2 linked regions of the Anolis sagrei genome follow. The protein of the gene in region 2 interacts with the protein of the main gene of each other region in a pairwise test. Links are inferred from orthologs where the notes say so. Each region holds a gene or a part of one and is shown on either strand. Other genes may lie near its edges.

Region 1 (8,233 bases), on a different chromosome or scaffold from region 2:
GTTACAAATAAAAACAAACCCAAAATATTCATCAGATGTGAAGATTAAATACTGAGGTAAAGCTGAATATTGTTTGATGACAATTAATTCCACAAAGCACACAAAGCTGACATTCTATAGTAAATATCTGTAATAAATATAGAACCTTGTGCAACAGCTACAAATGGATGATAAAACTTCTCATTAAAAAAAGGTAAAGCCAACCAGTTTTACTTCTTGTAAAACAAAGCGTAACTAATATCAGAAGTTCAACAATCAAGAATTATGCATGCGGCGTTCTGTGTGGTCCCTATCTACTTGTACATAATGAAGCCTGTTGATGATGATAACTATAGCCTTTTCCTTTTATATCTAGGTTAGTGTTTCTCAACCTGGGAGAGGAGGTGTCAGAAGGGTCACCAAAGACCATTGGAAAACGCAAATTTCTAATGGTCTTAGGAACCCCTTTGGCTGGGAAGGTTGAAGATCTCACTGCCTGTTTTTCTCTTCCTTTTTGGAAACAAATGGCTGTAGTGGCCGGTCTCTCAGCTAAGGGAAGTGCTGTTCCTGAGACTCCAAGCAGGGTGGGGAGAGCAGACATGCTTGGTACATGGCAGCGTAGTGCAGATGCATGGGCAAGAGAGAGCATGCAAGGGTGGAGGAAGGCTCGCACCAGCAAGTCCCTTCAAGGCAGGTGGGAAGCACCTGTGTGACGTGGGACTGAGAATGGCCCAGCAGCATCAGAGGAGCAGCAGAAACAGCTTCGGTAATTTGTAACGCTATTTAATAGGGAAAAAATCAGTCTTTTGTTTTTTATTAATGCTCCCATTAGAAAATGCATAATTGTTTGTGTCCGCAGTGCTCTATGGATGTAGATGACCTATAACTCCACAACCCAAAGTCAATGCGCACCAAACCTTTCCAGTATTTTCTGTTGGTCATGGGAGTTCTGGTGCCAAGTTTGGTTCAATTCCCTTGTTGTTGGAGTTCAGAATGCTTTTTGATTGCTCTTTGATTTCTGGTGAACTATACATCCCAGCAACTACAACTCCCAAATGACAAAATCAGTCATTTTTGTCAGTATTCAAATCTGGATGTATCAGCTATTTGTGCCAAATTTCTTCCAGTGAATGAAAATACATCCTGCATATCAGATATTTACATTACGATTCATAACAATAGCAAAATTACAGTTATGAAGTAGCAACGAAATTAATTTTATGGTTGGGGGTCACCATAAAATGAGAAACTGTATTAAGGGGTCACAGCATTAGGAAGGTTGAGAACCACTGATCTAGCTGTAGTTATACACTTTCATGCGACAGAGGAAAAAGGGGAGGGAGGAGGAAGAAGAGGGAGAGGAAAGTTGGGATGGGGAAAGAGGCACTGGGTTGCTATGAGTTTCTGGGCTGTATGGCCATGTGACTCTGGACATGAAAACCTTCGACAACAAAAAGAGGCAGTTCAGCAGTAGTTCAGTTCTACAATTCACGTTATTTGAATACCCTATAATTCTCTTTTTGAGGCCTTAAACTATCGTAATTTGTTTCCATGGGAAATGCAACCAATGTAGGAACTGCATCCACAGACATTCCTTCAAGGACAGAAATTGATCTATTACCTGGCAGATTCCTGCTTGTATATATCAATTATGTTTTCCACCAGCAGATTCCTCTGAAGGCCATAGACGCCATGTCTGTCTAGAACAACTTCGTGCCTGCATGACGGACAGCGGAATCGACCTCCTGAAGCCACAGTGGTGCCTCCTCTCATTGGCAGATACGGGTTTGAGGCCTGTTCTTGCCAAGGAGTAAAAAAGATTGTGGAGTCAAGCATGCATTCATTCACAGATATTTCCTGCAACTGCTTTCACTTCCATATTGTAAGATGCATGTCAGACTATCTGCTTAAGAAATGATCACATGCCTTTGTGTTACTCATTGCACTTTAATCACTGTTGGATAAGGCAGAGCTGTCAAAACATTTCATTTTGGTGACACACTTTTTAGACATGAATCATTTCGCGACACAGTAATTCAGTTTTACTGGACAAAGTTTTTAGTAAGGATTTATTAATGACATGTTTTATTGCTGCGGTTATGATTTTATGTATATTAATGTTTTTTAAATTGTACTTATGCTTTGTGGCACTGAGTTTTGTCATGTAAACCGCCTCAAGTCGCTTGAGGGCTGAGAGGAGCACAGTAAATAAATAAATAAATAAATAAATAAATAAATAAATAAATGAACCAGAAGTTAAACCAATCCCTTATAAGAGATTAAAACATACATCAATTGTAATAGTGAAATGCATGGTGACATGTCATCCCATGGAAACCTTTTATTTATATGTCTTCGATATATATTGTTACATTCATGCAAAACATCTACATATTGCAGTTTGGAAAGTCCTGGAATAAGATAATCAAAGATAAACTTACCTTAACCACCAAGGCATAGTCCAAAATGCTATCCAGTAAGTACAAAGGGTACATTGTTTCCATTTTGTTTATGGAAGGTTCGCACCAGCAAGTCCCTTTTGTTTAAGGATTCCAAGTTCATAAGGTAACAACTGGGTTGTTGTGAGTTTTCCAGGTAGTATGGACCTCACAACCTCTGCGGATGCTTGCCATAGATGCAGGCAAAACGTCAGGAGAGAATGCTTCTGGAACATGGCCATACAGCCTGGAAAACTCACAACATCCCAGTGATTCTGGCCATGAAAGCCTTCGACAATACAAAGTAACAACTTCTTGTAGAGATAAACTTTCCATTCTTAGAAGTATTGGGGAAGGACAGGAATGAGTTTATATTTTAATATCTCTACGTACATTAAATAATTATAATTCATTCTAGATCAATAGGGTGGGGAGCATTTCCACATGCAAAGGATCCAGAATCATACAGCAAATAACAAACAAGTGTCTTTTTTCTAATTCATTTTTTTTCTCATCTAGAGAAAACCCTTTTTATTAAACCACCACATCTGATTTTATAATCTGAAAGGTTAAATAATTCCAAAAGGTCAACTTACCTGGAAGATATCGCTGGCACATTTTCGACATAGGTTGTGCTGACAGGGGAGGATCACCACTGGCTTAGAAAACATCTCTAAACATATGGGACAAATAAGCTGTTTCTCTAAGTTATCCATAGTTTCTTGCTCTTTGGAGAAAGACTTGTAATTAAGAGAGGTGCTCATCTCCTAGAGAGTCTGAGGAACATAGGCTCAGAATCAGAATGCGGCCAATGGGTTTCCGGGTTAGGTCCCCTGAAAAAATTCCAATGCTTGTGAGATCAAATGTCCTTTGAGACTCTTTCCCTGGATGACATTGTTTTAATGGGTGGAAGGGAAAGCAGGGAGCTGGGCCTATTTTAGAAGCAGAGCGTCATTGGCTGCCATACTCACTCTCTCCATATATGCATCTGTCACAAGGACAGATTTAGACAGGTGACAGCTCACTGGGGTGAAAGAGCAACATTCTTGTGTCCAAGAGGAATGGGGGGGGGGAGCATAGGGGAGGAGGTGGAGAAATTCAACAGTTGCCGCTGACACATGCACCACTCACTCTTTTGGAAAAGTTGAAATATCATGTTGACCATAGAATACAGCCTGGTTGTTAATATCTTTACATCTCATTGTGGTAAGAAAAAGCAAGGAGCAATTCAATAAGCATACCCTAAATACTCATATATATGTCTAGAAATTTTAGTCAAAAAGTCAGCTCCAAAAATGGTGTCATCTTATCCATGGGTCAATGTAAGTACTGTATATTAATTTTTCAAAAAACTACCACCTACTTCTCTGAATAGAATGGTAAAAGTTAAGAGCTTGGTCCATCCCAGGAAAACCTTAAAGAAGCACTGACCTCTTCTACCCTCTACACTATGGTGCTGCTTCTGGACTTTTTGATTGCCTGCACGGGGAAAATGGTAGTGGCAGTCAAAGGCCCTTTAAGTCAGTCCTAGTGTTTTCTTTTCTCCATGGAATTATTCTCAACTTATCTACATGGGGGGTATCAAAATCCACAATTCTTGCCCTGAAAAATTATGCAGGAGGTTGGCTTATACTCGAATAGATATACGATAGAGTCTTGCTTATTCAACCTTCGCTCATCCTATGTGCTGTATTATTCAAAGCAGTCTGTCTCCACAGCTGTTTCAAAACATTGCAATGTTTTGGTGCTAAATTTGTAAATACAGTAATTACTACATAATGTTACCATGTATTGAACTGCTTTTTCTGTTGATGTTTTGGTGCTTAATTTGTAAAATCATAACATAATTTGATGTTTAATAGGCTTTTCTTTAATCCCTCCTTATTACCCAATATTTTTGCTTATCCAACATTCTGCCAGCCCATTAATGTTGGATAAGTGAGACTCTACTGTAGTACTACTACTTTCTAAAACTAAAGTGGGTCCAAAAGGCAATTTTCTGGTCCTGGAACCCACTCAAATAATGATGGATTGCCAAAGAACAAACCAAAAACACGCAGAAGTAACCAGACATTTGATTATGGCTTTGGGGGATCCCCACCCCCTCCCCCTGCAAAAAAACCCTGTTGAGATGTGTAAGAAAGGCCTTCAACTATTTAATATATGAACTTCTGAAGGCTTCTAGAAGAATAATCTCCCCCCCCCCCCTTTCATGTTTTTTAATCCAGGATGTCTGAAGAGGAAAAGGGCCATAGATGTGGTGCCAGGGGTTATTCAATATGACCTTGACAGATTGGAGATCTGGAGCAAAGCTAATAAAGTGAATCTCAGAAGGGTACTATATCTAGGAAGGAAAAATGTGTAAGATTAATGGGAGAAAAAAACAACACTTGTGAAAATGATCAAACAATTTTAGCAGATTATAACAAACATTATTCAATAGTATAATGCAGTGACTAAAACAAGCAAACAAACAATGGACTGTAGGCTGCATCAAAAGGAATGTAGCGATCAGATCAAGGGAAATAGTGGAGAAATACTTTTTCCAGTTCTGAATAACAGTTCAATAAGGACAAGCTGGAATATGTCCAGAGGAAAACTGCCAATATGGTAAAAGGTCTGCAAATCAAGTGCAATGAGAAATAATTTTGAGATCTAGGTATGTTGAGCCTGGAGCAGAGAAACTTAAGAGGTAATATGATAACCATCTTCAAATATATGGAAGGATGCCATGCAAAAGATGGAATGAACTTTCTTGTTGCTTTTCTAGAGCCTCAGATATGAACTATGGAGTTCAATTACAAGAGAAGATTAGAGATTCCACCTCAATATTAGGATGAACTTGTGTACTGTTCAATGGTAGAATAGATTGGCTTGAAGGATGGTGAACTCTCCTTTTCTGTGGTTTCTAAACATAGTTTGAATGGCTCTCTCTCAGGAATCCTTTAATTGGAATACTTTGTGGTTTCTATATGATTCTGTGTGCTTCCAGGGTTGGACTTTGCCTCTTATTAACCAATTAATTGCATATTTCTAATGTCCAGAACCTACTTTTCTCAAATGGTATATAAGGCTTCAAAAAGTCTCTATCTCTTTTGTAGAAAGAAGTAAGATGTGGAAACAAGTTCCACAATTAGTTGTGTGAACCAGTCTTAGTAGTGGCAGATGGTGTGGCAGATGGAAAGATGCTCCCTTTGTAGAATAGCACTGAGGCAGGAAGCCCCCTATGCTCTCACCAGTGCGCAGTGTGGTAAAATAGCATAAAAGGATGTGGCTCAGTTGGCTTTGTACTCACACATGGCTGACCAGCGGTGTCTATTGCTAGATAATGGTAAGCCAGAGGCCCCATCCTCCTCTTCTGCCTCAAAAAGCCAATTGGCAAATGTTTGCTTCTTTCTTCTCTTGATCTTCTTCCTGTCATGCTGTCACACCTGTAGATAGTGTTGCCATAGAGAAATCATACTTAGCTCTTCAATAATATTCTTCATAAATAAGCTTTCTCTGTAGTTTTTTAAAGGAACAGTTCCAATACACTTAAAAAGAAAAAAAAACCTTTCAGTGTTTTCTAAGTTCAAGTACTTTGGAAAAATAGCGAAGATGCACCATTTTTATTGGCTGAGCAGAGGTGATAATTCTGCCTGGGTTATACGCCCATAGTATAATCCCAATGATTAAGTTCCAGCACTGGGACACTGCTTTGTTTCTGTTTATTGGATGCATGGATCCCTCATAACTTGGCACTTGTTGCAAAGTTATTTTTAAAATGACAATTTCCCAGATCACGTCTGGCATGTGAGGCCTAATCTTAAAGCAAGCCATCTGTGCTGTTACTTGCCAATACTTTATCAGACAACTGTACAAGCAGTATGTATCATGTCTATGAGTTTAAGTGCAACATCTACTTTACTTACTGTAGCAGGCGGTTGTATTCGCATTCATCCTGTACATACCACTTGCACATTGGGTCCATTTTATTTGCTAATAAAATAGCTAGGATAGCTAGCTAGCTAGAGAGAGAGAGAGAGAGAGAGAGTAAGAATATACCTCTCTCTGCTTAGAGACAGCATGGTGAAAAGGCCTGTTCATTATACTAATAGAATTTGTTATTATCTGGCTATCAAGATACAAGGAAAGTTTAAATTTCAGCTCTAAACACAAGGAAGGAGTAACCTTCAAGGGGCAATCTATACTTACAACAAAGTCTATGGGTAATCTATACTTAAAACAAAGTCTGGGCCCAACCAAAGAGCACAGGCTTTATAACTAGTCTTAAAGCTACTTCAAGATCTCTTTTGCACACTGATCCAGACTACATTGCTTTGTCTTTGAATACTATGTGTACATACAATATATGCAAATACAAGTATTCCAAATCAGGAAAAATCCAAAATCCAAAACACTTCTGGTCGCAACCATTTTGGGTAAGGGATACAGCCGCTCTTATGAATTGTGGAAGTTGAAGTCCCATACACCTGGAGGGCAGAAGTTTGCTCATGCCTGGCTGTAGAATATGGACACATCCTCATCAACTCTGGCCTACAAGAAGCACTGCTTGACTATCAAGCAAAAAGTGAGTGCTAGAAACAATATTGTATGAAAGCTGAATAGCACAATCTGGGGAATCACAACCAAACACAGTGAAGACATCTGCCCTTGTGCTTTGCTACTCCGCTGCTGAGTACACATACCCAGCGTAGAACACATCTCACCATGCTAAAACAGTAGATATGGCTCTTAATAAGACATACCACATTATCACAGGATGTCTATGCCCCACACCATGATCAAGGGTCTGGAGAACAAGCCCTATGAGGAGTGGCTTAAAGAGTTGGGTATGTTTAGCCTGAAGAAGAAAAGGATGAGAGGAGACATGATAGCCATGTATAAATATGTGAGAGGAAGTCATAAGCTGTGATGAATGGTGGGAGTTAGACTCCAAACCACCTGCAGGGCCCAAGTTTGCCCATGCACTACTGCATAGTGGAAGTTCTTCCAAATGTTCAGGTGCTGTTTGATTCCATTGCTCTGGTTTGTCCTAGTGTCCAGAGCAGCAGAAAACAAGCTTGTCCCTTCCTCAAGAGGAGACATGCTAGCCATGTATAAATACGTGAGAGGAAGTCATAGAGAAGAGGGAGCAAACTTGTTTTCTGCTGCATTGGACACTAGAACGCGGAACAATGGCTTCAAACTACAAGAGAGGAGATTCCACCTGAACATGAGGAAGAACTTTCTGACTGTGAGAGCCCTTCAGCAGTGGAACTCTCTGCCAAGGAGTGTGGTGAAGGCTTCTTCTTTGGAATCTTTTAAATAGAAGCTGGATGGCCATCTGTTGGGAGTGCTTTGAATTTGATTTTCTTGCTTCTTGGCAGGGGGTTGGACTGGATGGCCCATGATGTCTCTTCCAACTGTATGATTCTACATTATAACTGTACCCTCAATTTGCTTCTGACTCTATAAATAAATAGTCTATTCTTTATTGTAGGGAAGGAACTGCAACCTCCAAACATGGATCTCTTGAGTAACTTTTTATATTGAATCACAGAGTTAAACTACTAAAGTCACAGTAATTTACAAAGCACAAGAGGGAAGCTATTTTCAATCAGAAACTGAAAGTGCAAGTTTGAAAAAAAAATCTCCTTCGAGCCGGAATCGAACCAGCGACCTAAGGATTCCTACAAGGGAAGTTCTCCTCTACAGTCCTCCGCTCTACCAGCTGAGCTATCGAAGGCACACGGCGGAGCTGCTCCCCTTGAGAGATCTAAGCCTCCGGAAGAGACAGGCACTGCCTCTATTGCCCCATGCTATATAGGTGCCTG
Region 2 (8,396 bases):
TATCTATCTGGGCCCCTTGAGATGGTCCTCATGCAGCAACAGACACAGAGGCCCGAAGAATCCAAGCCAGTTCCTGAAAAGGAACCATTCGGGGGGGTTTTCGGGAGGAGGGAAGATGTCCCATAAGCCTCAGCCTCTCTGGGCCTCTTGAGACATGGAGCGGGACAATGAGCGAGGCAGGCCAGCTTTCTTGAAGTCGGGGCAGGCGGGTTGGACAACGGGAGGCAATTCCTTGGTGATCTCCGCCAGAGGTTTCTTGTCAAGACACACGCCTGTCACTGGCAGTGACTCCACAGACTCAGAGGGAGTGGGCGTGTATTCCCTGGCACTCAACTTGGTGGGGGTGAAGAGGGGCAAGGGCAACGCCCGCTGATATGGCAGGTGATAGGAGGTCAGGGGTTCACCCAGCAGACCCAGGCGGAGGATACCCCAGGGTGACCGCTGCACTATGACTCGAGCTTCCTGTTGCTGGCGGTAGGTCTCTTTGCGCCTCTTGTCCACTTCAAACCGATTCCAGCTGTGGAGAAGAGAGAAAGAATCAATATTAGGTTCACATCCACAAGATCTCCCAACAGTACAGAATTTCCCAAAAATTGAATTTCCTGTGCTTATGGTTAATGGTGAGAATTGGAGTAACTGTGTTTCCTCCCAATAATGACAACCTACTCAGAAAACCAAAAGGGAGTTGTGAAAACCTCTCCAAAGTGGGTGAACTGGGCAAGATTCAATGAAATGCTTCTTCACGCATCACATAGCTAGGCTATAGCAGGCATGAGCAAACTCCAACCCTCCAGGTATTTTGGACTTCAACTCCTACAATTCCTAACAACCAGTAGGCTGGGTTGTTGTAGTTTTTTTCGGGCTATATGGCCATGTTCTAGAGGCATTCTCTCCTGACGTTTCGCCTGCATCTATGGCAAGCATCCTCAGAGGTAGTAAGATGCTTGCCATAGATGCAGGCGAAATGTCGGGAGAGAATGCCTCTAGAACATGGCCATATAGCCTGAAAAAACCTACAACAACCCAGTGATTCCGGCCATGAAAGCCTTCGACAATAAACCAGTAGGCTGTTAGGAATTGTGGGAGTTGACGTCCAAAATATCTGGAGGACCAAAGTTTAGCCATGCCTGAGTTCACTACCACAAAATATGGTGATGGCCAACTATTATCAGAGGTTGGAAACTTGTGGGTTTCCAGATATTGGTAAACTTCTACTATCATACTTCATTGTTATCCTGATTGGTTAATGTTGATGGGACTTGGGTGTTCCATAGGATCTAGAAAACCACAGATTACCCAGCACTGATTTAACTGAGTTTAAATGTAAATAAGATTAATGGGAATAAAGCAATCAATGCCTACTAGTCAAGGACGCTATGTGCCACCCCATGCCTCTAATGTCATTGGCTGGAGGACATGAATAGGAGGGGGTATGTCACTCTGTGCCCCTTTTGGTTGGGCTTTGATGAGGATCTGGTTGCCCGATTGTAGAAAAGATGGCACTAAACTAGAAAGAATCCACCAACTATGGACAAAGTCTTTCTCAAACTGTGTTCCTTCAGGTGTTTTGGACTTCAGCTCCCAGAAATCCTAGCCAGATTACCAGCTGTTAAGAATTGTGGGAGCTGAAGTCCAAAACATCTGGAGGAGCACAGTTTGAGAAACTCTGAAGTAGAGGAGAGGAGACAGCTATCCTCCAGGTGCTTTGTTTGTGAGCTCCCCAGAAGAATTTGCTTGGCCCTTTCTTGAGGCAGAAAGCATGTGCAGCTGGATCTAAACTCTTGGTCAGAAAGGCTAGCTAAGCGTTCTAGTATGAAAAGTAATTTTCTCAGCCTCTGGTCTGAATCAGTAATGCAAATTCATAATCTTGTTCATCACTTGTATGCATTGCGCACTTTTTTTTCAACTCACTCCATCCATTTAAACAGTGCTGGATTGCTGGTGGTCTGACTCAATGGCCATTGTCTCTCAACCTTACTATTTTTCATCCCCCCCTTTAGCACTTTCTTTATTTCCTCTTTTGTCAAAATATAGGCTGTAAGATCCACATGTAATGGCGTGTTGTTGCTCCTTGATACAATACTATTGTCATTTAATCTGATGTTCTATATTATATTAACTGATCCTGTTAATTTACTCTGTTTCCATGATTTTTCCTATGCCATTATACATTGTCATCTACCTTACTAAACCACTTTATCCTTTAATTAGCTCACGTAGTGGTTTTCCTCCCCCCCTCCAAAATTAGTCTCCTGTTATTGTCGTTGCTAGTTATTTTTGTTATGTTGTTTTATGTTGTTTTTATGCTGTTTTAATTGTTATTGCTTTGTTTTAATTGTATTCTGCCTGGGCTTGGCCCCATGTAAGCCTCCCCAAGTCCCTTCAGGGAGATGGAGGCGGGGTAGAAAAATAAAGTTCTTCTTCTACTACTACTACTACTACTACTATTACTATTACTACTACTACTACGGATGGAATAATGGCTATATACACCCTGATGATAATAACTGATGCAGACCATTTACAGCACTGTAGCAAAACTCATGCCAACCCAAAATAACGTTGCTATGGAGTAGCCTCTTCATCCTGGTGACCTCCCCCCCCCCCCCCCCCAAGATGTATTATGGCTGAGTTGGCTGGGGTTGGTGGGAGTTGTAGTCTAACACATCTGGAGGACAACAGCTTGGAGAAGTCTACTTTGAGCCATGGCAAAGAGAAATATTTCTGAGATATCAGGTCCCTAATGCCTACCTTTTTCTCACTTCTTATTGAACCCAGTTTAGACCCAAGTCTAAACGATTAGATGGATCTACCAAAACTTTGCCTCGTTTCATAGTCTTCTTTCGAGAATCCCAAACCTATCAGTAATTTTGTGACCATTTTATTATGACCACTTTGACCAAGCCTGACCCAAACCTTGCCTAACCCGAGATCATCAAAAGACTCACCCTTCTTCAGGACGAGTGGTGAGAGATAGGTCTTTCCATTCAGCGGAGAAGGATTCTTTCCGTGCCGTGTTCCTCTCAGACACCTGGCAAGCCAGTTCAGCTGCGGACAGTGTCCCAGAGCTTCTCAGGACCACACTCTTGCCGTGCATTGTTGCGTCTGTGTCTCTTCTTCGGCTGGGATGTGAATGTAAAGCCTCAGTTCTGCCTGGGCTATTGTCCCAGCCACGGGTGACTTATATAGTTTTCCGAGTGCCCATTCCCGAGGGATTGGCGTCTGGAGCTAAACTAGGCATGCTGAGTCACTGGTGGAGCATTCTGACACTGGATACGACTCTGATCCCCCTCCCTCTTTTTGCCTCCTCGGGTTGTATGTGTTATTGGAAACCACATTTGTGATGCTATAATATGTTATGTTCATTTAACCCTCCTCTTCCTGGTGAGAACTGCTGTCAACAGGCTGTTTAAATGACTGAGTGTGAAAGATCAAAAGGGTCTGACTTCTGCCACAGTGTTTTGGTGAAAGATTTTACATCAAATACTTTTCATTTAAAGTGGACTCCCTGAAGTTGAGATATAGTCGGTTTGCTTTTGGATCTCTTGTCTGTGACAACAGGCGAATCATAAGGATATGTGTGCATTTGTGATCATGTGCAGATGACATATATTTCCTTTTCATTAAGGATAATGAAATTTCATCCAATGTTTCAACTGCTTTAGACTTTGGGATCTCTGCAATTATTTGGGATTGATCACAATACCACAATTGAAGAGAGATATTGACAAGCTGGAATGTGTCCAGAGGAGGGCGACTAAAATGATCAAGAGTCTGGAGAACAAGACCTATGAGGAGTGGCTTAAAGAGCTTGGCATGTTTAGTCTGCAGAAGAGAAGGCTGAGAGGAGACATGGTAGCCATGTATAAATATGTGAGAGGAAATCATAGGGAGGAGGGAGCAAGCTTGTTTTATGCTGCCCTGGAGACTAGGATGTGGAAGAATGGCTTCTGAATTGAAATCTTAATCAATGTTGAATTCATGGTTATATTGAGATAGAATCATAGAGTTGGAAGAGACCTCATGGGCCATCCAATCCAACCAGGCCCGTAGCCAGGATTTCGTTTCGGGGGGGGGGGGGGCTGAATTTTTTTTCAGGGGGGGTTTCAGGGGGGCTGAGTTTCGGGGGGGGGGGGGGCTGAGTCTGAGTGAAAGAGGTTCTACCCTAGCAAACCTTTTGTATCATTACCCCAATACCCCCATGCATATGGGATATATTGAGTATGGTGATCAGATCATGATATGAATAAACATAACAGTTTAAATAATGCACCAATAAGGCCTTTTCGCGAACCACCATGAAAATTTGGGGGGGGGGGGCTGAAGCCCCCCGAGCCTCCCCCCCCCCCCCCGGCTACATGCCTGAAATCCAACCCCCTGGCAGGAAGCAGGAAAATTACATTCAAAATATTCCCAAAAGATGGCCATCCAGCCTCTGTTTTAAAGTCTCCAAAGAACAAGCCTCCAGGAACTACAGGAAAGGAGATTCCATCTGAACATTAGGAAGAACTTCCCGACTGTGAGAGCTGTTCAGCAGTGGAACTCTCTGCCCTGGAGTGTGGTGGAGGCTCCTTCTTTGGAAACTTTTTAACAGAGACTGGATGGCCATCTGTCAGGGGTACTTTGAATGTAATTTTCCTTCTTCTTGGCAGGGAGTTGGACTGGATGGCCGATGAGGTTTCTTCCAAGTCTATGATTCTGTCTCAATAGAACCATGGATTCAACATTAAGATTTCAATTCAGAAGTCAGTTAATCAGAAAGGATTCAGCATCCAAATTTAGAGGTTTTCACCTTTACCGGCACTGAATCAAGCCATGAAGTCAAGCTCATGCTGAGACTCAGCAGAACTTATGAGCCAGCGAGTGTGCAATTCAGAAAGGCATTTGGTGATGGATAGAAAGGTTGAGAGATTACTTGATGGGAGTGCCCTGTGCTGAGCCGGCACAGCTGTGTGACGTGTCTGCAACATGAAGTCACTGGAAAGAAGATCTTTCCATCCAGTCACTCACCCACCCCCTCAGGTTTCAGGACCATCATGCCAGCCCTTCTGCATGATCACTTATACATACACACAAACACATATACCCAGAACCAGCCTCATAGACTCCTTCCCCACCCTTAGGGAAATACAATGTCAAAGGTCTGGCCTTACAGGGAGAGAATGTCCTGTAAAGAGGGGAACTAGGGACAGGCTAAAACAACATGGGTTGTTGACTAGGCAAAGGGCCACTAGGGAGAGAGGGGAGTCAAAGATCTGTGGGCAGGACTAGGCAGGATTCTTGCAACACGTGGAAGCCCCACACTCCAGAAGGATGATGCCAGAAGTGGGAAGCAGGGAAGAGAGGGAGGATACAAAGAAGTGAGGTAGAGATTCAGAGACAGCCTGGGCTTAATCCCATCATAGAAGCTCCCTGAGATGACCTTGGACTTAGATGCCCTCACTCAACATCACCTGGTATACTGGATTGTTGGGTGCATAAGATATCAGATATGTGCCCACCATGTATGCCTCCTCAAACTCATTGAAGTACAGAGGAAATGTGATAAAGAAATAAAGCTTTGTTTGTTTGTTTATTTATTTATGACATTTATATGCCGCCCTTCTTACCCCAAAGGGGACTCAGAGCAGCTTACAAGATATATATATATATATATATATATATATATATATATATATATATACACACACACACACACACACACACACACAATATATTATATTATTAGCATAGTACAATATCAGTATTAAATATTACTATATTGTACTATACCATTATATTGTAATATTATTAGTAATATTACATGTAATATAAATATATCATTATAATATTATAATATTATTAGTATTATATTGCATTACATTATAATATTATAAATATTATATGTACATACAATATATTACATTACATTATATTATATTATGTTATTAGCATAGCACAGGAGACAAGGTGAACTGTTCCCTGGCCCCTTCTCTCTTCATTCTGGTCCGGAGCGGCAGTTGGTACTGGCGGGGAAGGGTCCCCAAATGATGACATATGCAGGAGATAAGATGGGACTATTCCCTGGCCCCCTCTCTCTTCACTCTGTTCCAGAGCAGCAATTGGTGCTGGCGGGGAGGGGTCCCCAACTGATGACATATGCAGGAGATAAGATGGAGCTGCCCCCTGGCCCCTTCTCTCTTCACTCTGGTCCAGAGTGGCAATTGGTGCTGGGTGGAGTGGTCCCAGCTGATGATGTATCCCCTTTATGTTTATGTAATTTAAGGGAGAAATATTAGCATTTAAGAAACATAGGAAGCTTCCTTATGTCAATCGAGCCCACAGCAGTCTTATCATGGGTGGTTGAACATGGATCTGGGGATTTCATCACAAAGAGCTGGAGGAAATGAGGGAAAGTGGGGGAATGGGTAGAGTTTCGTGGAGTTCTGTTTTAAAAGAAGATGAAGAATTTATGAAGATGAAGAGGCGATCTAGGGCCCCTTCCACACAGCTGAATATAACCAAGAATATCAAGACAGAAAATCCCACATTATCTGCTTTGAACTGGATACATGGCAGTGTGGACTCAGATAATCCAGTTCAAAGCAGATATTGTGGGATTTTCTGTCTTGATATTCTAGGTTATATGGCTGTGTGGAAGGGCCCTAGATCACCTCCTCCAGCTTCTAACTGAACCACCCACTTAATTCCCATTACATGAGCAGATGATGACTCCTCTCATTTCAAGGATACCCTTTTAAAAAATAAGTATCCTTTAAGGCAGCACTGCCTTCAAGACCCTTCCACTGAAGCAGATTTAAGGCATTTTTCTTAAGGTGTCACTTTCCATGGGGTCGTTTGAACTCAAGACCCTTCTACTTAAACAGAAGCACCTTTCTTAAGACGGCACTTTCCTTGGGGGTTGATTGCACTGAGATGTCCTCCCATTATCCCTCCAGGATTTTGATTATTTGTCTTTTTATAAAACATCGCCCCGGATCTTAGGAAATTAAATTAACCCCTATCTTTCCCAGAGCCCTTGCACTGGTGATTGATCTTTCTCCAAGCCTCTGTATTGGCAATCTGGGGAAATAGGCATTTTGGCTCCTCCCACACACAACATCATTGTTATATTTACAAGCAGGCAACAAAAGCAGGACACGGGATTAACATCACAAAAGGAAGTTATTGTTAATATTGGATCATAACCTGTTAGGATCACTGACCATCGGGGTATAGATCATGAACTGATTACTAACAGTTTCTTCATAAACTGTGTTGCTTTATACAGCTCTATTTAGTAAAAAATTACTTTCAAATAAACACAAACTTCAACAGTTTCTAACTTTCTAACATGAGCTTCTGACAGATTTCTATACTCAAGCTCATTCAAGGCACAACACAATTCTCTAATAGTCATTCCTCAACCAACATTCCCTAACTGTCATCCTGTTTAAACTTGAACATTCTAAATTATCACCGAGTCAGTCACATGACCTGCAGCCCCTCCCACTGCTGTAGGTATATAGAGATAAGGAAACTGCAAATCAAAGAAGACATATACTTCAGGTTATAAAATGATACATTACAAAACAGACAAATATCATATAGAGGAGGCTTGAGAAGGTTGCTTCCTCCAACAGAACCTGGCCATTTTGCCTATAGGGAATTTAAAAATAAGTTGATTGCCAACCAGCTTAGGAATTGTTGGGAAAACCAACACTTTAGGAACAGCAAAAACCTCACCCTCACAGCTGAAACTTGCATTGTGTGAAGGGCAGCAATAGAAACATTGATTTTACTATGTGTGATGAAGTCATGGGTATTCAAGAATACACCACTCATAATCCTTTATCACTGGTAGTAGATACTGTAGATTCTGGGAGCTGAGATCCTAAGGAAGCTCCTCGTTTCTCACTTACATGCTGTACAATTATGAATTCCTTACTTTAACTGTTGTGGCTGCATCCTAAGGATTCCTGAGCTTTGTAGTCTGCTAAGACACCAGACCTTTCTTGATGAGAATTCTAAAAGCTTCTTCCTAAACTACATATCCCAGGACTTCATAGGCTTCATCTGTGGTGGTTAAAGTGGGTTCCACGTGCTATAATAACGGCATAGTGAGAGAATGCAAAGAAGTAACTGTATTACTCTGGATCACTATGCAAAGGGATCTCTGAGAATGAGATGAAGAAGTTGGTAGCTTAAGCTCTGGTAGACTTAAGTCTTCTTCTTCAAATGCATGAAGTGAAATGCCTAATAGCTACACGAATGAGCAGGTTGTATGTGTGAAGAGCAATAGAAATGCAAACTTGTGGGTATGGTGATTAGGTGACAAATTCAGTTTTCCTCTTGCCTTGTTATCCACCTAATCACCATAACCACAAATGCTGCATTTCTATTGCTATTCTCATATG

Evidence for each region.
Region 1: the proteins of TCAP (region 2) and TRIM55 interact in a two-hybrid assay, tested with the Homo sapiens proteins (2 studies listed by BioGRID and IntAct). The link is inferred for Anolis sagrei from reciprocal best matches to the Homo sapiens genes TCAP and TRIM55.

Annotation. Positions count from the first base shown.
Region 1 is NC_090024.1:45,672,962-45,681,194, forward strand, and holds the start of TRIM55 (tripartite motif-containing protein 55), read right to left. Parts: upstream 3,328-8,233; 5' UTR 3,182-3,327; coding exon 3,014-3,181; intron 1,779-3,013; coding exon of another isoform or gene 1,774-1,778; coding exon 1,601-1,773; intron 1-1,600. UniProt on the Homo sapiens protein: E3 ubiquitin ligase that plays an important role in regulating cardiac development and contractility, muscle growth, metabolism, and fiber-type differentiation.
Region 2 is NC_090026.1:42,861,243-42,869,638, reverse strand, and holds the start of TCAP (telethonin), read right to left. Parts: upstream 3,168-8,396; 5' UTR 3,098-3,167; coding exon 2,949-3,097; intron 518-2,948; coding exon 130-517; 3' UTR 1-129. UniProt on the Homo sapiens protein: Muscle assembly regulating factor. Mediates the antiparallel assembly of titin (TTN) molecules at the sarcomeric Z-disk.